Linked DNA regions of Caenorhabditis elegans. The protein of the gene in region 3 purifies or fractionates together with the protein of the main gene of each other region. This does not show direct contact. Each region holds a gene or a part of one and is shown on either strand. Other genes may lie near its edges.

Region 1 (6,789 bases), on a different chromosome or scaffold from region 3:
ATTTGAGATATAGAAGGCCGGTTTGAACAGATTCTATGACAGGCAAAAACCAAAAACAAAAAAAAAACATACTAGGGAATATGTTTTATTGGAATTTTGAAAACACTATGTATGGATTTATTGGAATTGTTATTATAATAGCAATAATAACAGTAACAAAACTTAATTAACTAGCTTGGCTAATTAAGCAGAAATGTACTTGCAGCGTTTGTTATCAGAATGCCAATTGTTAGCAATTTATTTGAATGAAACTTCCGGTGTCATCTGACACGAGCATGTGAAAAATGAATGACCCAGTTGGCAAAAAAATTTTGTCTAACTTTTGTCCATATGAATTTCAATGTGACAAGACGTTTTACACATTTATATTACTCAAAGTGATCATAATTTTTAGATAAAGTTTCAATTTTTAATACAAATTCAAATTGGTAGAATTGGTAGAAAACTCAGAAACGTTTGAAATGTTCTGCTAAATTTTTTGTCATTTTTCAACATGCTTTCGGATTCCTTAAATTAAAATGTTGTTGTGACATAAAACGTGTGGCATCTAGCATGAATGTTTCCCCTGGTTTGTTTTTCCAAAAAACAAAAAAAAAACACAATCTCATTTATATTTTAACGATTTAATAATCGATTCAAAGTCCACCAAAAAATTGACATGACTTTTATCCATTTAAATATGCCTGATAGGAACAATTCTCAACAAGAATTATTGAAATCTGAATTTCTTGCTGGAAATTTCGGAAATAATTGTTTCTCAGTAGAAAATGTTTCCTTTCCATTCTATCCAACACCAATAAATCAACAAACAGTGAAAGAAGCAATGCAATGAAATAAAATGACTATGAAGAAACAATTGCGTGTGGCGCGTTTACAGTGCCTTCGGAAAGATACTTAGAAGAGAGTGCGGGAACATATTGCAAGAATTGAGGGGAATTGAAAGAATCAGGAAGCAAATCTCATTAAGCATACGCCCAGATAATGCATAATGGTGGCTTGGGTTCCAGGCAGTTATAGGAAAAGTAGGCAAAGCTCTTGAAGAGAGAAGTGAAAAAAATTATCTGTGCAATTCTCAATGGTAATTGCAAAAAATAAAAATGTCATTAATAAGGCAGGTTTGTAAAAAACAATGTTACTACTTGCAAAATATTTCCACCGATGCAGAATTGAAATGTTGTCATTTTTAGTATCGACACCATGAAAGTTGAATTTTGCTAACATCTCAAATTATGTCAATTTTTCGTTATCCCAATCTTTCATCTTTATAATTTATTTTGGTCCCCTAGTTATCTAAAATTGATTTATGAATAACTGAATAACCCTAGATTGACATGAAAACGCATACTAAACTGATAGAAATTGCATTATTTTTTTTTTGAAACTTTTACACTTCCCGGTTCATCCGTTTGTTGGTGGTATAATTTCTGTTTAAAAAAACACTTTAAAAGTTTTTTTCGAATTTTTATGGAGTGAATATCTTTTAAAAGTAGTGCAAACTTTGTTTAAATGGACTCCAGCAACAAAAAGTAAAAGGCGAATGGACACTGAAGTAAGTTAATTATCGTTTTAGTTTCGGTTTTTGAAATGGCTTCTTTCAGAAAAAAAAAACGCACTCATATCCTAAAAAGTGTTTTTCATAATAAACAAAAATTATAGTTTCTTCTGTTTTTTTAAATATAAATGTCACTCTAAAATTTTAACAAATTGTTCAGGCAGTTAAAGGAGGACTAACGGTTCGGACGATTTTGAACGTATCGACCCAAAATGGGCCCAAATGAACGAATTTTGTAATGAAATTGCTCAAAAAATTTTCAAAAATGTTTTATGGCGGTTCAAAATTTCGAAAAAATGACACTGATTTTAGCCAAAATCTCGAATTTTGCCCATTTTTCCGTGTCACATCTGTCCGAAATTGCTTTTATCATCCTTTATTGCAAAAATCATCAAAATTGGTTAGCTATCGGCTTTAAATGTACCTTAATCAAGGAAATTAAATGAGATAAACTACCAATATATGCAATAAAGGGTGATAATTCCAAAAAAGCAATTTCGGACAGATGTGACACGGAAAAATGGGCAAAATTAGAGATTTTAGCTAAAATCAGCGTCATTTTTTCGAAATTTTGAACCGCCATAAAAAATTTATGAAAATTGTTTGAGCAGTTTCATTACGAAATTCGTTCATTTGGGCCCATTTTTGGCTTATACGTTCAAAATCGTCCGAACCGTTAGTCCTCCTTTAAACATAATTTCGAAATCAAATATTATTTTTGAAAAACATGAAAATGCCAATCAAAATCTCATATTGTTTCGTTTGGTGTACGGTAACTTTTATTTTTGTTGTTTCAATTTAGCAGCCTTGTTTTAATCAAGAAAATAACTCATGAAAACGTGAAATTAGTTATTCGCACTTCTCGTGCGAGATTAAACAAGTGACATTTTTGCAAATAAAAAATTATTTTCGAGATTAGATTTTCGGCCAGAAAAGTTTTACGGCGGTATAAAACATAATTTGATAGTGCTGCAGCCGCACATATTGTGAAGAAAATAACAAAAAAAAAACAAAATAATTGCCAGTGAAATATCAATTATAATTGACTTTCATTTGACTTTATGATCTGGAACATCTTGTTATCGTCATTGAGCTGCAAGCTACTCCTGAACAACTTTCGTAGTTCTGAAATTGCAGGATAAATTTTTTTTCAGTGAACATACATAGCAGACTGAGCTGTTGGCACGAAAACCGGCAACTGTCGATTTTTTTCCTACCGCTTGTTCAAAAACTGTGAAAAAAACAAAACTTTAAAAACAGAATGGCGCCAGTTAGAATAAGCATACAAGTGCAAAAATTACTATTCAAAAAATGAAAGGTTGTGTTATTTTGAGAGTAGTCAAGTGGTGAATGAATACTTCAATTAAATTTTGAAATTATACGCAAATCATGCGACGGCACTGACCAATCAGCGTTACGTAAAGGAGACGACATACTTCGGTGATTGGTTGGCGGTTTCCTGAATAACACGTGTTTCAAAATTACATTGACATATTTACGGTTTGTCCAAATTCGTAAAATTGGCACTCTTGATCATATTTCTTTGCCTGTTTTTTTTGGCATTTTTCAGAGCGAGCTTCAAAAAAAACTATTCAAATTTTGCCACGCTTTTAATATTATTCACTTTTTCATTTAAATTTTAGATCAATTATAAATGGTTATTATTGAGTGATAACAATATACTTTTTCTAAACACGAATAAGATTTTTTTTTCGAAAATAGGTACCTTTATATGTTTCAAAAGTGTTGAATCACACGTGTTGCCAATCTGAAAATGGGATGGTATCTTCTTATTGACACAAGGTGAATTCAAAAATTTTCCTAACGTCACTGATAACACAACCGACCATTGAGTTTTATTACCTCGATTTTCACTTGCTCGCGTTTTTCACAGGACACGCAGGTTTGACTAATAATGCTAGCTAGAGCTTCTCTTCATTCAAATGGTGTGGATATGCATACCGCTGAGTATGCTGATTATAAAAAGGTGGGTCTTGAAATTGATTCAATTTTCTAATAAATTGTACAGCTAATGAGAAAATTGGAGTATTATAAAACTATGTTTAGGCTGAAGTCACATCTCATCATGCTCGAGACATAGTGCATATTAACGCAGGCGGCACAAGGTTAGTTGGGAATTGAGAACATGAGATCTGAGAATTTAACGAAGGCTTCAGATTTACTACACTTTACGACACTTTGGCACAGTCAAAGTCGTCATATTTCCTCAACTTTATCCGCATCGACCGCACCAGTGGAAAAATTGTGCTTCTTCAACAGAGAACTATTGTGGGTGACAATCTAGAAATAAATATACATACTAATGAGGATGCAGAATTTTTTAATTGGAGACTATTAGGTTATCTAGAAGCTAGCTGAAAGCCTAAATCCTACTGAAAAAACTTCCAACAATTTTTACTTGTGCTTTTTTCAGAATTATTTTTCTGAATTTCAAGAGAATGCTTTTAATCCTCATAGCTCTCTCTAAAAAAATTTCAATACAAATTTCAGCGTGATGAGTCAGGAGCAATCTTCGTGAACCGGGACGGGCGTCTGTTTGCATTCGTTCTGCAATTTATGAGAGACGGAAAGAACACTGTCCTGCCAAAAGATAAAGACGTGTTAGCACAGCTCAAAGTAGGTGTTTCATGTTTAATTTCATCGCCTTCTTAACCATGCGTTGTCATTGATAAGCACAGTTGCTTGTTTACTAGAGGTACACCGAGGTGTGCCTTGTGTTTTATGGGTATTTATGTGTTGGCGATTGTGTGTCACGAATATTGGTATACCTAATCAATTGGCATGGGTAGAGAAAATTAAGTTATACAATTTAGTCATGTGCAGTTACTATTTTATGATATTGTTAAGGAAAAACAATATGTTTTGAAAAATTGTTTTTTCCAGGAAATATCATTCAAAAATTAATTCAAAGTGCAATATGGAAAAAAAACCAACAAATACAAGATTAACACTAATGTCAACTATGTCAACAATCATAAAAAATAGAAACTATGAGATTTATGCAAAAAATGTGTAGCATACATAAGTGTGTATATTAAATGAATCTTGAAACACCAAATCAATTTATTGAAAACAATCACAACTTTTAATTTGAAAATAACTCCAATGATGTATGAATTGACAATACATATAAACTTCCCTTATTTTTTCCAGCGAGAAGCAGACTTCTTTGGCATGGAGGTATTCAAGTACCTAATTCAAGAGACACTTGTTGACATTGAAAAGGAACAACGTGCCAACACCAATGATATTGTGGATATTCGCAATTCGGTGAACCAAATTGCGAACAACACGTACTACAATAATGGAGGACGCATTTGAAGTTTACTTCCTCTTTCTGAATAACTTTGTTAATGACCATGAAATAACGGAAATAAAGTGCAAAATTGTGTGTACTTCTGAACGAACTTGTTGAATTTGGTGTTCGTTGAAAATTGACTTGGGGGATGGAGTAATCATATTCAAATTATTTTTAGTGATCCTTGTGAGAACATTTGAAACCAAAAAGATGTGCTTAAAATTCTGAACACTTTTAAATTAAGAAAAATCGGTAGAATCGAGTTATCGAAAATCAAAACGTCTTACTAAACTTCAATTACATTAGCCATAAAAAACTATAGAAAATATCGATTTTCAAAAACTAAATTATATTCAATCTTTTACAGATTTCTGAAAACCAAGTCAAAACTGATAAAAGATACAACTCGGAAAATTGCTCTAAATCAGCAATGTGGAGAAAAATATTTCGTTTAATATTTTTGATTGGGGGGGGGGACTTTATTGGTTGTCCTGAATCTCTCTCGAAAGTTAGTTTCCTCGCATAAATTAGTCTTGCGCTCTTAATTAGCATTGTTTCTGAGCAATTTTTTGTGTCTTGAAGCCTGCGTCGCTGCAGTTGCAACTGAAAACTAATACAGATGTTTTCGTGTACTGTTTATTTTTTGCCTGCAGTTAAAATAGATCTATTTACTTGTTTTGTGCAGACTTAAAAAAGTAACAATGTTCTGTTCAGTGTGCTCAATAGGTAAACAACTTTTTTTGAAAGTTTGTTGAAAGATACTTAAAAAATTCGAGCTCCATGTGAACATGCGCTATGAAACGTTATCTTGCCATGAATTAATCGTTATTATTATTAAAAATTCTTTTGATTTTTTTAAACTTTTGAAAACTATTAAAAATACATAAACATTTGCAAATATTTTGCAATAAAACTCTTTAAGACTTAAGTTTCTACGACTGCAGTTAAAACTATTTACAACGAAATATTTACAAGATGTGACCCGGAACCCGGAACATTTTGCCACGTTTAATATCAAAGCACGATCATTGAGCACCATGTTGACCAGCATGGTACGTGTAATATTTTTACACGCTTCGTTGGAGACAAATTACATGATGAAGTTTATTTATTTTGATAATCAACCAGTCGGATAATTTCGAAAATATACGATTTTGATCTAAACCCAAATTTTTCAGAATGTGCGCAAGTTCAGTTTCAGAGGTTCCGTTCTACTTCCCTGTACATTTTTTTTTCTGCGAATCACACTATTATATCTAACTCATAAAACCCTTTATTTAGTGGGCGCTTTTGCGAATAGGAGAAATTGTTCTCAGAATCCAATAGTTTCGAACACATTTTTATCACTGTCACGCAATTCAGCATGATTCAATTTCTGTCACGTTTTTCTCGCATTTCAGTCTATATCCCTTTTCAGCAGTTGTGACTCTACATTCTCTCCTAATCGAATTTGAAGCGTTCAACAATTTTCGATAAAATGACACCGAAGTATCAACTGTTTTTAATTTTTATGATAATACTTCAAACAATGTGCATGCTTTACAACATTGTGCTCCTCACAGCAACAATAATAAATCGTCGGAACGGTAGTTTTTGAATTTTAGGAGTCAATTACATTCAATTAATTTTTAAGCTGCACTCCCACTGGCCTATATTGTTTTAATGAGCATTCCCGGAATTCTAATTACAGTTTTCCTTAATGTTAATGTAGCTGCTTTTGCCTTCCTTACTGAGGAAGAATATGAAAGTGAGTTGCCTGTGGAGAGTTCTGAAAACATATTCGAACATTTGACGTTTCTAGACTATCTGACAGCATTTGGTGCTCAATTTAGTCTTGGAGCCACATTTTCGTATTTCCATTCTCTTTGCATTTCTGTGCTAATGACAGTCAATCGATTGGCTATTATACTCAACCCAT
Region 2 (7,050 bases), 3.1 Mb from region 3:
CGAGATCATCTATTTATCCTTTTGTCCGGGCACTGGTTTCACATGTCTTCCCGGATTTGGAATGCTTTTCTCCCAATCAACGACATGCTTATCTGCGAATTTCACAACTCTTGGGAAGTTTGCTCTCTCTTCTGCCGTATATTCATCACTTCGTTTCACAACTCCTTGAACTTGTCGCAGCTGACTTCCAATATTTTTTCGTACAAATTCTGCCATTTCTTCATCTGGGAATAAATGTAGGCGTTGGATGTGACGACGTCGGAGAAGATTATTTCCAAGTGACTGAAAAAAAGAATATAACCACCGCGTACTTCAGGTGTTCGAATAGTTTATATTAGTTATTGCCAAAAAATTGTTTTGTTTAATTTTCAGGTAAATTTTAAAGACATTTTTAACGTTGAATAAATCATTAGATTATTTTTTTTTCAAAAATACTTCAAAACTTAAAAAAATTGGATGACATAAATTACAAAATAAAAATACACTCACCCTATAAACCGATAAAAAAGCTATTCTGCATTGATCGTAATCGTGAATCTGCCATGCTGGAATATCAGCTTTACTTTTTGGATATTCCTGCAAAAGAATTGATAATTTCTATAAAAGCAGCAAAAATCACCATATTGAACTTATAAATTGTGTGTTTCCAGTCAAATGCATGCATTGCAATATCTTTGCAGTTTGTAACAACTACATGATCTCCACAATCAGTTTCTGGATGGAAAATTGGTTTGTGTTTCCCTGCGAGATATCGAGCAACTTTATCACCAAGAAGTTCGGCGTCCTGGAATTAAATATGAAATAAAAATAAATATATTCATGTTGTTATTATGTTTTTCTGTTATTCGAATGTACATTTTTGTTTTCTGGTAATTTTTTTTTACAAAAATGGACTTTTTCGATTTTTTTTCCAGATTGTTCAGAGGAAAAAATTGAAGAGAGAATGCGATTTTCTGTAGTTTTCAAGATTAAAAAAATTAAACTTTAAAATAATCGTGCCAAATTGGGTTTTGGCGGACTTACGACATTATAATATAAGTGGAAAAAACTGAGTAATTACTACAATTTGCGTGCTAATAAAATAAATTCAGGAATTTTTTGAAAAGCTTTACTATTGTGTTTGGTCATTGTTGAATTATTTTTTATCAGTGAGCAATAATTTGTATTATTTGAATAACTATGTGTATTAGAAAGGATTGCACTTATATTATTACTTAACACTTCCATTTGTCAACAACATGTTTTCCCATTTGATCGTCGACATGTTTACGTTCAAACATTCAAAAAAACAAAACAAGAGGCTTAAAGGTATACATACTTGTTGATTCGCATCAATCACGTGCCATTGTCTCGAAAACTGCAGCCATTGGTTAACACGGTCAAATCGAGAAACGGCACGCCGGTAGGACATCTGATTGTTTGTAAATGATTTTCAAAATGTAATTTCAACGAATAAATGATATAATAAAGATATTAGAGGAAATTTACCTCAAAAGGAAAAATCAAAAAGAAAAAGCAAACATCAAAGGATTTATACTCGAAAATGAGAAGGGACCGAACCAGAATAGTGAGAAAAAAAAGAATATTAAAGAAACAATTACAAAAAAAAAAGAAAAGTTCATAGAACAGAATTCGAAGAGAGCGGAAAGAAGGAATTTGGGGTGATATGATCACACAAAATTTACAATTTTGGACAGCATCTAATAATCTTCTAGGAGAAACGAAAGCGGTGTTGCATTGCTGCAAAATAAGAAATCTTAGATTATTTTTTTGGATGAAAGTATGAATACACGTGTGTGAGCAGTAAAAATTCGAAAATGAGCAGGTGCGATCACCAGACGATTTTGTTTTTAAACTCGGGCAGAACTGAGAACCGTTTGACACTTTCATAGGCAAGCATTACAAGACTTGAATAGAGAGCATTATTCACCATACGCGGTGCGAGACCCTGAAATATTAAAAACATATATAAATGTATTTAACTAATATTTTTCGTGAGCTCAGCATATTTTACGGATACTTATTTGAAGCAAAAAAATGGTGTAAACATGTTGATTTCTGAGCTCATTTTCTAAATTTGGTATATCTTGATTTGGCAAAACCATACCTTGGTGAATACTTGTGCTTTCTCATACTTCCATAGTCTAACAATCGTTTCCCTGTACGTTGTTCGATGAACCTGAAAATATTTTAATTTCATTGAATTAGATTACTAAAATTCTTACCTGTAACCGAATTCTCAGCATCTCCAATGGATTTGTAACCATTGCACTAGCGACTCCGCCAATAGAACCGCTCACAGCTTGGTCCAGGAACAAATTCCGATCATCAACTTCGGAAGGAGATGTTGGTTTCACTCCATATTCAAGTTCAGTGACCTGAATTAATAATTGACTTAATTCAGTTTAGCATAACTTTAACCTACTTTTTCACGAATCATTCTGAACACTGCTAATGAATTGTAATATGTAGACCAGAAAACCATTGTTGAAGGAATATACAACATGATTGCGGATAGGAATCCTCTGAAATTTTAAAATATGTCATAATTGAAACTGTAAAATATAAAAATACCTATAAAAACCGAAAATTCCATCAACTTTGTACACGGCCCTGATAACTCTCAAACCTAACGTTCTTCTGCCTTCGAGACCATCTTTTCTGATTGCATCTGCTACTGGTATATTCTTCTCTCCACCTAAATTATATTCTTCAGAGCAAACATTTCAAAAAAGCGATTTACCTCCAAATGCTTCTGGATTATTATGAACCATCATATGTTGAGCCACAATGTCAGTTGGTACAAATATTAGCTGTGCACAAGGAGAAGCGATTCCTCCGGCTAATGCAGATACCACAGAGTGATTAGTAATATGAAGATGGGTTTGAAGCAAGTCTCTGACTCTTTCATAAGCTGATGAATATAAAAATGAAGCTGACAGCTGGGGAAGTGTCATCCAGAATCCCTGAAATATTTTAAATTTCAATAAAACATCCGGTAACTAAAACTAACTTTATACAAAGCGCCGATTCCTTCTTGACGAATGATTTTAACAAATGCATCTCGCATTCCGTTATACACATTATTTTGTCTCTGTAGTTGTAGTCTGCTCTTCACAACAGACATTGGATACAGCATGCACCTGATTGTCCATGAACTGCACAGAGCCATTGGATAGAATTTGTACAAGTTGAGATGTTCCCATTGAATTACTAAAAGCTTGTCCTTCTGTATTTGACTCAGTGGAGATACTTTCGAGTTTAGCGGGGATGTTGCTATTGACCGAGCCTCAATCGCGGTGTCCATTTCAGACGAAACCATCTGTAACATCTTATGAACATTAGAACTTTTAATATCGGATAGAGCATACCTTTGCGAACCGCATGTTCTAATTTTAAAATCAAATAGTCGATCGTTTGGTCTTCAAGGCAAAAACGAGCAAAGTGTGAGAATCGGCTTAGAATTGAGCATCACCTGGAGAGTTTTTTCGAAGGAACTTCAAGCGGATATTTTGATAATCTGACTAAAACAGGAAAATACGTATTTTTTAAAATTTTATAGAAAAATAGACAGATGGAGAGAAAAACATCAACAAAGAACGAGTAGTTTAAAAATGTTCACCAACAAAAAAGAGGCACCGCATTACGGCGAGGGAGTGTGCTATTGAGAGAGACACAGCGTCGTAAGAACGGAGCATCGTAATGCGCCTTGTTTATTTTTATTCAAAGTTTAAAATTCCATTTTAATGTTTTGTTTTCCGTTTTCGGTAACGCTCTTTCAGCTTTTATGAATTTTTTCGTTTTATAGTTGGTTATTGTTCAATTGAATGTTTATAGGGTATGATGAACTATCAATATGACGTCTCTGTCATAATTCCAGCCAAAAATGTAGAAAAGTTCTTGCGGGAAACACTCAACGGTCTACTCGACCAGACAGCTTGTGAAAATTCAAAAATTGAGGTTAGAAATGCGTATGGTTTTGTTTCTTCTAATTAATAAAAATATCTCAGATTTGTTTGGCTGACGACGGGAGTGTAGATGACACTGTTAGAATTCTGGAAAATGCGCGGCTCGAGTTCGAAGAGATGGGAATGAATGTCGTTGTTACACACGTTCCTCAACCCGGTGGAGTTGGTGCCGCTAAGGATTGTGCTGTAAGATCTTCGAAAGGAAGATATCTCTGTTTCAATGATGCAGATGATGTCAGCTCTCCGAACAGAATCAAAAGCCAATTGGAGTTGGCAACGAAGTTATCGAAGTCTGGAGATGATTTAATTTTTGTAGGTGAATAAATTGAAGTTAAGTATAATACGATCCTAACTGTTTGTTAGGTGGACAGTTTCATAGACTACCAGAAGGCTCCACAACAAGATACACAAAATGGGCGAACTCGATGATCGGAGACAAAATCAGAAGTCAAGTCTACACATCTCATGGTCCCACGCTCGTTGCTCCTACTTGGTTCATTAGTAGAGCACTTTTCGATAAGGTTGGCGGTTTTCGAACAGATGTTTCGTGTGGTTTTCCTGAAGACTTAGAATTTTTCTACAAGTGCTTGGATTTCCCGGAGTGTATTTTTGATAAAGTAAGTAAATTGGCAATTTTAGCTGGAAAGTTAGCTTGAAAAAAATTCATTTCAAAATGTGTGTTATTTCAGGTCGATGATGACATTGTCATGTACCGATACCATAAAAACTGTGCATCACACAGCGTTCAAGAACAAACAATTTGGAATTTCCGTTTATCGAGATTAAAAGAGAAATACATCGCAAAATGGGACAAATTCACAATCTGGAGTGCTGGGAAGCAAGGAAAACGTCTTTTCAAGTAATGGTTTATGCTTGAAAACATTCTTTCAACATATACTACATTCTTTAGAAGTCTCACAGATGACGAGAAGATCAAAGTCAGAGAATTTTGCGATATTGATGAGTCAAAAATCGGGAGAGGTGTTCATGAAGAGTTTGATGAAGTGTCACGCAGTGTGACTCACAAAGTTCCAATTGTTAACCTTGAGTATGTCTTCACTTTCTCAGTTTCTTACTAAACGTATTATTTGTTTTAGAAATGCCAGGCCTCCGCTCGTCGTTTGTGTCAAATTGGACTTGACAAATGGTGATTTGGAGCGTATAATTGAACGAAAAGGCTGGAAAGAGCACGTCGACTTGGTTTACTTTGGTTGACAGACTGCTATCCGATACTTGATATAATAAACAATTTATCCGTTTAAATTTTGCATTTTGCGTTGTCTCATTGGTTCTCAGTGACTCCAATGTACTTTGATGTTGCAAATTTTTGTGTCTGGTCATTTTTCTCCCTCGTCGTTATCATTTTTCCTAACAGAACATGGGAAGAGATTACTAGGTGTCTCTGCGTCTCGTGTCTCCGAGTGATCTCTAATTTTCTCGCTCCGTCTGCTCGCGTCGTTGGAAAAACGACTCTGGCGCGAGTTAGTTTTCCTAATAGACGGCTTCTCCGTTTAGCTTCTTTAATTTATTTTATTGTTTTTCGGCAAAGTGGTTCCCTTCAGCTCTTTATTCATTGATTTTAAGTTTTAGATGGTGTTCCAACCAATCCACGAGGAAGAGCAAGTTTTCGTCGACTACGCCATTGAGTTGGTTAAAAAAGCTGGAACGGTGAGTTGAATTCGGATTAAAAAATCAAACTGTTTCCTAAAACAACAACGTCGTTATTATCTTTGTCTTATTTTTGTTAATTTTACAAATATGCACATTTAAATCAAATGCGTAACTCGAAAAACAACATTCTCTATTCCTCAGTTACGAAACAAATTTTATTATTTGAAAAAACATCAATATTCGAAAAAAACATTTTCAGCTCGTCCGTACCGCGTTTGACTCCCCGGAAAGCAAGGTTGACACAAAATCATCGAATACTGATTTGGTGACTGAAACTGACCAAGCTGTTGAAAAGCTTCTCATCGAAGGGCTCTCCGAGAGATTCAAAGGACATAGGTAAGAGCAAGGAATTCCCACGGTCCGCTCGATTTCACTCATTGTCTCCATGACAACCAGTTGGACTTTCTTTTTCAATCGAGTATTTACATAAATTTACTATTTTGATTCAGATTCATTGGCGAGGAATCTGTAGCCGGAGGTGCGAAAATTGAATGGACTGATGCACCAACATGGATTATTGATCCGATTGATGGAACTACTAACTTTGTTCATAGGTAAGATTTTTTTTAAATCGGACTCTTCAAATAATGGCAAATCGCGTTATTTAATTTCTAATTTGGACTCAAATTTTTCTCGAAAAACAAATTCTTATGTTATTATAGAATCCCTATGATCGCAATCTGCGTTGGACTTGCAATCAAAAAACAAATTCGTGCTGGAATCGTATACAATCCAATCACTAATGAACTTTATCTCGCTCAACTCGGAAAGGGAGCTTTCAAAAATGGATTTCCAATCCGAGCATCAAAGAATCAATGTAAGTAATTGCACTTTTCTTGTCATGCACCCTGCTTTTTGAAGTGCTTTCAAAGGGAGTTCTCTGTCAATCTCTCGGTCTGCATAATCGTGTTCAGTTCGGCGATCGCTGGCTCGACATTGCCCAGTCAAACATGCGAAATCAAGTGATGGCTGGTGTGCGAGGGTTTGTTTTAATTTTTTGGTCTAAAATTGATTACTTTTTTACAAAAAATATACCTCCACACTTCCCGCGCTGGTTTTGCACGTTTTACTTTCAATTTTATTTACATTCACATAGAAACGTTGCAAATTCCAGTCATTGCGGAAAGTGTGCTCATACTTCAACTTGGCTCAATTCGATCTCCTGTTATGCAGAAATCATTTGTTGATTCTTACAAGACTGTTATGTTCGACAAACAATGTCACGGGTACTTATAAATATTTTTTATATTCTTGTCGAAATCTAGTGACTTTCTTGAACTGTGCGTTTGCAAATTTTTTGAAAGTTTTACTAAAATTGAGAAATGGATAAGATGGAAAAGTTAGATGTTGGATGGACAAAGTTTAATATGAAAAAAATCACGAGGATGATGTGATATTATTATTTTTAATA
Region 3 (8,189 bases):
CCCAGAATACTTTCGCTATGATTGTATATTTTTTAGCATTTGGTCATTGTAATTTGTAATTATTGTCGGAATGGATAAAATGATTTAAGAATAAAATGCATCGCTTCTTGGACAATTCCTGTTGATAATCTCATTCTGATATATTTTCAAAAGTTTTGGTATTGATTTTAAAAATTAAAATATTAGCAGCTGCCGCTGTGACTGGAGAAGTTGACGTTTTATTTCTTCTAATTCAGCTGTTTGTACCTGTTTTGTAATGTTATTACTTTCTTTCGAACAAAATGTCATTCTTTTTCTGGCAGAAAATTCCGATTTTTAAAAGTTATTTTTACAACATTACAGATGGATCCTTCTGTTGTGTCTCGATTGGAGAATGTTGCGAATCGAACGGAGAATATATTGCTGAAATATGACTCGAACAAAAAAGGCAATTAAATAATTGTTCTCGAAATTATAAATTCCAAAAAAACTGCTTTTTAGAAACTCCGGTCGACGCGACGCCTCAAATCATTAATCTTTATGACGATGCGATCTGTGAGAATCTCGTCTCGTTTTATGATTTATCTGCAAAAATTGGAGGAGATTTGAATCGCCTTGGATGCATGGTAAGGAAATATATAATATTTAATTCAAATTTTATCGAAAATTATGTTTCAGACTAGGAGTCTATTTTTCACGCATCGATATTTTTTGTGGATTGCGTGTGGGCGCAAAAAGGCGGACAACGACGAGTTCGCGACTCTTGTGAACGATTTGTCGAAGGAAATTGTTGCATTTTCCGATTTCAAGGAGAAAAATCGAAAATCCGAATTCTATAATCATATCTGCGGACTTGAAGCTGCGGTTGGAGGTGAAAATTTGCCCCTGATTCCGAATATCTATGTGAAAAACTCTTCATTATTTTATATATTTCAGCTTGAAATCGCTTGTTCATCCATTACTTTTTTCAAGCACGCGCCATATTCTCATTGGAGCGCGCCGTGTTGTGTCGATTTACGAAATTTTCCAATTTTTTCAATTTCAGTTTAAACGAGTTTCCTTAATTTTTGTGGGTTTTGCTTTTTGTTGAAAATATGAAATTTCGCGAGTTTTATGATAATGTTCGATTGACCCAAAAAAAAGTTTTCGAAAAAAAACAATGGAAACTCGTTTAAAAACTGAAAATGGCATGAAAATTGTTGAAAAAATTTCGTAAATCGACACTACTCGACGAGCTTGAATGAGAAAAAAGGCAATTTTTATCTCAAGGGTGTCGGTTTTTTCGAAAAATATCTTTTAATATATATTTTTTTTTCTTTAAAAAATTTGATTAAACTTAGATTTTTTTCGATAATGTTTCGGTTACACCATTGCTAAATCTGTAAATTTGAAAATAATACACTCCCAATTATTTCAGGTTTCGGTTGGGTTGCTGAACCAAAAACTCCTGCTCCATTCATCAAAGATGCTATCGATACATCAGTCTTCTACCTAAATCGTATTCTTATGGAGCACAAAGGAAAAAATGATTTCCATTCGGAATGGGCTAAATCTATCAAAGAACTCATGCTGAGTCTTCATGAATATGTGCGACAACATCACACGACTGGTCTTGTCTGGAATTCGGATCCCGGTGCGACTCCGATGTGTAACAGGAAAAGTGGAGGAGCTCCAACGCCGCCGCCACCACCACCTCCACCAATTTCATTGATTGCGCCTTCCAAGCCTTCTGGTGTCGGTGCTCTACTGGAATCTCTCAATACGGGATTATCGGCTACTAGTCGTTTGAAGAAAGTCACCCCTGAAATGCAAACTCACAAAAATCCGGTACTTCGTGAGGTAAATGGACAGATGAATCGAAAAACTGAAGAAAGAAAGGTGAGCGAGAACAAGAAACCGGAGAAAATTCACGAATCGAGCATTTTCTGGGATGGAAAGATTTGGAAAGTTGATCATCAAGTTGGTAATAAGAATGCCGTCGTTGAAGTTACGGATAAGAAGGAATCGATTTATATTTACAAGTGTAACGATTCTATTATCAAGGTTAATTTTTATTCGATTATTTTTTCGCAATTTCACACAAAATGGCCGGTTTTTCAAGGCTTTTATATTGAAAATCAGTGTCAAAATATATAAAACCTTTTTAATTTTTTAAATTTAAAAATGTAATTTATTTCAGTTTAAAAAATAAAAACTCGGCCACTTTTATGCTTTTTCTCAGATGTTTTAAGTGGAATAAATTTTATTTTCAGATGAAACAAGTCATTTTTGACACTAATTTTTAAGTTAAACAAATTGTGGCTATAAAAACGTAAAATTTTCGGTTTTCCAGAAAATCGAAAAATTTATCAAATTTTGTTAATGTTGATGGAAAAAAATAAAAAGAAAACATATACATTTTTTTCTGAAAAGAAGAAAATGACCGAAATTTTTAGATATTTTTCGAGAAATTGAAGCTTTTTCGAAATATCTGAAAAACTAGAAATTGAAAAGAAACCAAAAATTCCAATTACGGATTTCCTGTTTTCCATTTCCAAAGAAATTTTTAATGTTTCGAAACTAATATCTTTAAATTCTGGTAATTTTTCTGTTTTTTTTTTAGATAAAATTGATATGTTTTCTTATTAGTTTTTCATCAACATTAACAAAATTTTAGAATATATATTTATGTTTGATTTTCTGAAAATTGTTTTCTTGAAAAAATTCGAAAAAACCGACACCCTTTTCGAAATATCAGAAAAACTAAAAATCAAAAAAATATGACGAACATTTTCTGTAAAACGAATTTTTTTTTCGATTTATTAGAAAATTGAGAAACTGACACCCTTAATTCTAATGGATAAAAAAATTTATCAAAAAAGAAAGTCTAAAAATTAAATTACAGATCAAAGGAAAGGCCAACGCAATTACATTGGACGGATGCCGTAAAACTTCAGTCGTATTTGATGGTCTTGTTGCTCAATGTGAAATCATCAATTGCCAATCAATTCAAATTCAAACTCTCGGAGAACTTCCAACTGTTTCGATTCAAAAAACCGATGGATGTCATATCTATCTGTCACGTGATGCTTTGAATGCTCAAATTGTTGCATCCAAATCCAGTGAGATGAACATCTCCGCGATGTTGGAAGATGGAGACGATGAGTACACGGAAATGGCATTGCCAGAGCAGTTTATGACGAAGATTGTTGGAAAGAAGCTTGTCACTGTCGCATCTGAAATTGTATAATTAGCTTTAAAGTTTTAATGCATTCTCCGAATATCTCCCTACTATCCCTCATCTCTTCCTCCTGCTGGATCTCGTTCTCCTATCAAAAAATAAATTATTTTCTGTGATTTTTCTCGTTTTTTAATTTGTTTTGATTAACGCTGATTATTAATGCTTCAAGATATTGGAATATTTAGGAAAAAGCAAATAATCTGAAGCCACTTTCCGAACATTACAGGTGCAAAATGGCGATGGTAATCCCAGCTCGCAATCAAATGGCTTCACAATTTTTAGAGTTACCCAAAAGGACTTCAAGCTTGATGGTTTGATTTTTAGAAATTTTTTGTTTGGGAAGAAATTTGGCTTTTTCGATTTTTTTTTGTTTGAAAAAAAAAGTATTTTGGAATTTTTCGTTTTCTCTCGATTTTAAAAAAAATCTAGCTTTTTCGAAAAAATAGCTTGAATTATATTTTAGATTTTCCAGTGAATCAAAGAAAAAATTCGCTGAGAAATTGTGAAAAATTATTTTTCAAAAATTGAGAAATTTATGAAAACATTGAAATTTTTGAAAAATAACTAAAAATTTTGCTATTTTTCTTTTTTACAGAAGAAATTTGTTTTATACGAAAAGATGCGCGCCTTTAAAGAGTACAGTAAAGAGTACTGTAAAACTGCTGTAAGAGTACTGTGTACTTTAAAGAGTAATATAGTACTCATCAACATGAAAAAAATTGTAACAATTTTTGAACTCAAATTTTTTTTCCGATTTTTTAATTTTTCGTAATTTCGACAAAATTCGATAAGACAATATAAAATTTAAAAAAATTTTTTTGGAATTTTTCGAAATCATATTTTCAGAAAATCGAAAAAACCGCCACCCTTGTTAGAATTACAAAAAATTGCAATTTTTCGACACAAAAAAATAAATTTCAGGCTCCAACAATGGTTCTTCAAGGACACGGAGGAGAGATTTACACGTCCCAATTCAGTTCGGATGGAAGTTTTCTTGCTAGTGCCGGATATGATCAACAGGTTTTTTGAAATTTGACGTTTTTTACATCAAGAATACGGTACCCAGGTCTCGACACGACTGGTGCTTTGTAAAATGCGAAATGGTGTGTGCCTTTAAAAAGTACTGTAGTTTTCAACTTTTGTTGCTGTGGAGTTTTTTTTAAATAAAAATTAAACTAAGAGCTTTTATTGTTATATTTGACTTTCCTGATAAATAAATATATTTCTTTTCGTAAAAATTATAAAAATTCGATGAGAATTCCGCAGCAACAAAAGTTTGAAACTACAGTACTCTTCAAAGGCGCACACCTTGTCGTGTCGAGACCTGGTACCGTACTTTTGACGTAAAAATCGCTTCCGTGTAGCAATAGAATAGCGTTTCACTGAAATTACACTTATTTTTCATTCAGATCTTCCTGTGGAATGTGTTTGGCGAATGTGAGAATTTTGCAGTTCTCAAAGGGCACAAAGGAGCCATTATGGAAGTGAAATTCAACGCGGATTCGAGGTTTCTTTTCTATTTTTATTTTTCTGATTTTCAGCGTCCAAAATAAATCCCGAGGTTTTATTTTCCGTCAGTTTTCGGTACAATTTTCATGAAAATTTGGAGATTTTTTCGCGTTTTGGACGCGGAATTAAAATAGATTTTATTGAAAAATCCATCCAAATACCCAAAAAAACTTTTCCAAAATTTCAGTCATCTTGTATCTGCTGGAACCGATAAAACCGTTCGTGTCTGGGATATGGAAACCGGTTCGTGTATTCGAAACTTCAAATCTCATACCGATATTGTCAATTCGGTTGATGTGAATCGTCGAGGTCCTCAAATGATTTGCTCAGCGTCGGATGATGGAACTGTCATGGTATAAAGATCTTAGTTGACACGAAAATCGGATTTTTCCAAATAAAAATACATTTAAAAGAAATTGAAAACTTCCAATTTTAAAATTTTTCTCAACTTTTTTTGATACAAAAAATATATATTTTAGCCACAAAAAAACGAAGGATTCTAGAATTTATATTGTGAAAGGAAATTTAAAAATGACTTCTTTTTTTGAAAAATTTGAAGTTTGAAAGACGTTTGAGCAAAAAAATTTCGCAAAATATTTCGTTGATATTTTTTGAGCCATATTCAATAACAGAAATTAGGTGCTTGGAAAGTTTTAGATTTTTCAAAATTTTCAGTAAGAGTTTTGGTAAATTGTCAAAATGCGAAATATGTTGTAACCCTAAGTACAGTTTTCAAATAATAATTAATATTAACATAAAATAGTTCTCGTTAAAAAAATTTTTATCGACTTTAAAAAATTACGATAGGCGACAACTAAGTAATTGCCACTTTTTTAACAGAAATAAAATATTTCTAAATAATTATTGGAAATATTTACAATGTTTTTATGCAATTTAAATCGAGCTTTAATAATAAAAAAAGTGAAATGAAACTGTCAAATTAAATTATTCGAAAATCCTGAAATACACTCTTATAATTGTGCAATTAAAAATCTTAAATACCACTTTTAAAATTCCATAATAAATTTTAAGTTTTTTTTTTCATTGAAACGAATATTTTCAGGTTCACGATATGCGGAGCAAGGAAGCGGCGAAAAAGTTTATCTGCAAATACCAACAGACGGCTGTCACGTTCAACGATGCCGCGGATAATGTTATTTGTGGAGGAATTGACAATCAGATTAAGGTTTTTTTTTTTGAAAATTTTAACACAAGGGTCTTCACAAGAAATTCAAACCCTGAACCCATGAAAATGCGGTTTTTTCATTTAAAAAAAATTTATAAAAGTTGTTTGAATGTAGAAAATAAATTTGGAAGATTTTTGAAAAACTGTGTACTGAATAGCCGCTGAAATTTTTGTGGTGACCGAGTTTAACGAAATAATGACGTCACATTTGAAAGTTCCGAAAAAGTGCAAACATAAAGACTATTGTAGAATTACGACTATAGTCATTACTACAATAACCCTAATAGATTCCATTTGGCTCTTTTCCATTCATTTGCCCTCCAAGACCAATTCTAGTAAAACGAAAGTGGAAAGGAAATGAAAAATCTGTCGCTCAATCCTTTTTCATCCAATTAATACATGGATGACGAATTTCCGGTTATTTAAGAAATATTTTGAAGAAGAAGGTTTCTGGAACTAATTGAGAATTGGTTTTGCAAATTTGTAATAAATTCACTTTTTAAGATTTTTTGAAATTTTAGGAAATTTAGAAATTTTAGAAATTTCTTTAAATTCAAAAGTTTAGAATTCTTAAAATTTTTTATATCAGAAATATTTTTAAATATTTGGAATTTTGGAAATTTTAGAAATATATAATATTTTTGAAATTCACAACTTTTGGTAATCTACACATTTTCAGAAATATGACAATTTTAGCATTTTTTGTTCAAATTCCGCAAAAACTGGGTTTTTTTTAAAATTTAATGTTTTTAATGTTCTCCATTCCAGAGTACGAAATTTCCCAAAATTCCAAATTTTCAGGTCTGGGACATGCTCCGAAATGACGTCAGATATGTGCTCTCCGGACACCGCGATACGATCACTTCTCTTTCTGTCAGTCATAATGGAAACTTTTTGCTTTCCAACTCGATGGATTGTTCTTGTATGTATTACTACAGGAATAAAAGATAATTGGAAAAATTGAAAAAAAAATTTAAGAAAACTGGCAAAAATTGAAGATTTTCTCAAATTTAGTTTGTGAGAAAACGAAAATGGAAGAGAAAAATTTTTTCAAAAAAAAAGAAAAATGCCAAAAATCTGAGCTATTTTTCGAAATTTTCCAAAATAATTTTTTTTGAAAGTTTTGAAAAATAGTTAAAATTTTGGCATTTTTCTTCTTTTTTATAATACAATTATATTATCTTGAATGTTTTTTCTCATAGAAAAAATTTGAAAAATTAAAAAACATTGAGAAAAAAAATTAATTAAATTTTTCAGTGATGAGTTGGGATATTCGACCATTTGTTCCTGCTCAGAGGCTCGTTGCCAGATATCAAGGAGCTTCGCATAATTTTGAAAAGGTTTATTTTTTGAAATTCCTATATATTTTTTCCAAATTTATGTTTCCAGAATCTTTTGAAATGCGGCTGGTCTCCACGCGACAACTACATCACCGCCGGCTCTGCGGATCGTTTCGTCTATGTTTGGAATGCAAAATCGCGTGCATGTGTCTATAAACTTCCTGGACATCTTGGTTCCGTCAACTGCACTGCTCTTCATCCAACTCAACAGATTCGTGAGTTTTTTTTTGATATTTTCAAAATGGTTAAAACTATGAAACTATTGGAAAAATATGGAAAAATTATCTCTTCCAATGCAGTGTGTCGATTTACGCAGCTCGTGTAGCTCCCCGAGGAAGAGTGAGAATTTATTTTCAAAAAGTTATAAAGTATTTTGACTAAACTACTTGTAAACCTGAAAAATTCGAACTTTTTCAAAAAAATTAAATTTTCGATTTTTTTTTTGGAATTTTTTTTAATTTACAAAAAAAACATAAATGGCCTGGAATTCTAGGAATTTTTTTTTCAAATAATCTGAAATTCTAGATTTTTTTTTGAAAAATCGAAAAATAATTCTCAGAAAAAAAACTAATAATTTCAAAATTTTGTTTATGTTGATGAGAAAAAACTAAAATATAAATTTCTGCTAATTTTTAAAAATTCGATTTTTTTTGAAAAATAGGAAAAAAAATGTTTTTAATCGAAAAAATATTTTTTAAAAATTAATAAATGACCGGAAATTATTGGAAATTGGAATTTTTCAAATAAAAATCGAGCAAAAATTTTTAAAAATTCAAAAAAATCGTACATTTTCCTAATTTTTCGATTTTCAAGAAAAAAACGAAAATTGCGAAGTATTTTAGCCAAAAGCAGTGAAATCCTAACCAAAAAAATCATAGTACACTTCTCCTCGTGGAGTACACACGCTGCGTAAATCGACACATGACCGTGTTACAGGTTTTAGAACTAGGTCACG

What was found. Proteins that work in one complex are often made in the same cells at the same time.
Region 1: the proteins of snrp-40.2 (region 3) and F46G10.1 fractionate together in Caenorhabditis elegans (co-fractionation; one large-scale study listed by BioGRID). This does not show direct contact.
Region 2: the proteins of snrp-40.2 (region 3) and F13G3.6 fractionate together in Caenorhabditis elegans (co-fractionation; one large-scale study listed by BioGRID). This does not show direct contact.

The regions. Positions count from the first base shown.
Region 1 is NC_003284.9:13,308,405-13,315,193, reverse strand, and holds F46G10.1 (BTB domain-containing protein), read left to right. Parts: upstream 1-3,438; 5' UTR 3,439-3,467; coding exon 3,468-3,539; intron 3,540-3,619; coding exon 3,620-3,678; intron 3,679-3,722; exon of another isoform or gene 3,723-3,729; coding exon 3,730-3,841; intron 3,842-4,063; coding exon 4,064-4,189; intron 4,190-4,726; coding exon 4,727-4,894; 3' UTR 4,895-4,967; downstream 4,968-6,789. Other genes in the region: srxa-8 (G_PROTEIN_RECEP_F1_2 domain-containing protein), read left to right, coding at 6,349-6,457, 6,505-6,618, 6,673-6,789.
Region 2 is NC_003279.8:7,301,478-7,308,527, reverse strand, and holds F13G3.6 (Glycosyltransferase 2-like domain-containing protein), read left to right. Parts: upstream 1-3,837; 5' UTR 3,838-3,840; coding exon 3,841-3,960; intron 3,961-4,010; coding exon 4,011-4,284; intron 4,285-4,331; coding exon 4,332-4,585; intron 4,586-4,657; coding exon 4,658-4,827; intron 4,828-4,878; coding exon 4,879-5,016; intron 5,017-5,065; coding exon 5,066-5,183; 3' UTR 5,184-5,228; downstream 5,229-7,050. Other genes in the region: mrpl-13 (Ribosomal protein L13), read right to left, coding at 10-282, 490-576, 620-784, 1,319-1,411; F13G3.7 (SLC (SoLute Carrier) homolog), read right to left, coding at 1,832-1,948, 2,108-2,179, 2,226-2,378, 2,426-2,525, 2,575-2,698, 2,744-2,966, 3,014-3,331, 3,372-3,386; Inositol monophosphatase ttx-7, read left to right, coding at 5,559-5,636, 5,839-5,975, 6,089-6,193, 6,302-6,456, 6,501-6,621.
Region 3 is NC_003279.8:4,189,816-4,198,004, forward strand, and holds the start of snrp-40.2 (WD_REPEATS_REGION domain-containing protein), read left to right. Parts: upstream 1-3,425; 5' UTR 3,426-3,432; coding exon 3,433-3,510; intron 3,511-4,120; coding exon 4,121-4,219; intron 4,220-4,608; coding exon 4,609-4,706; intron 4,707-4,895; coding exon 4,896-5,061; intron 5,062-5,771; coding exon 5,772-5,894; intron 5,895-6,695; coding exon 6,696-6,816; intron 6,817-7,151; coding exon 7,152-7,234; intron 7,235-7,283; coding exon 7,284-7,449; intron 7,450-8,189. Other genes in the region: cas-2 (C-CAP/cofactor C-like domain-containing protein), read left to right, coding at 343-427, 481-605, 658-850, 1,397-2,022, 2,864-3,208.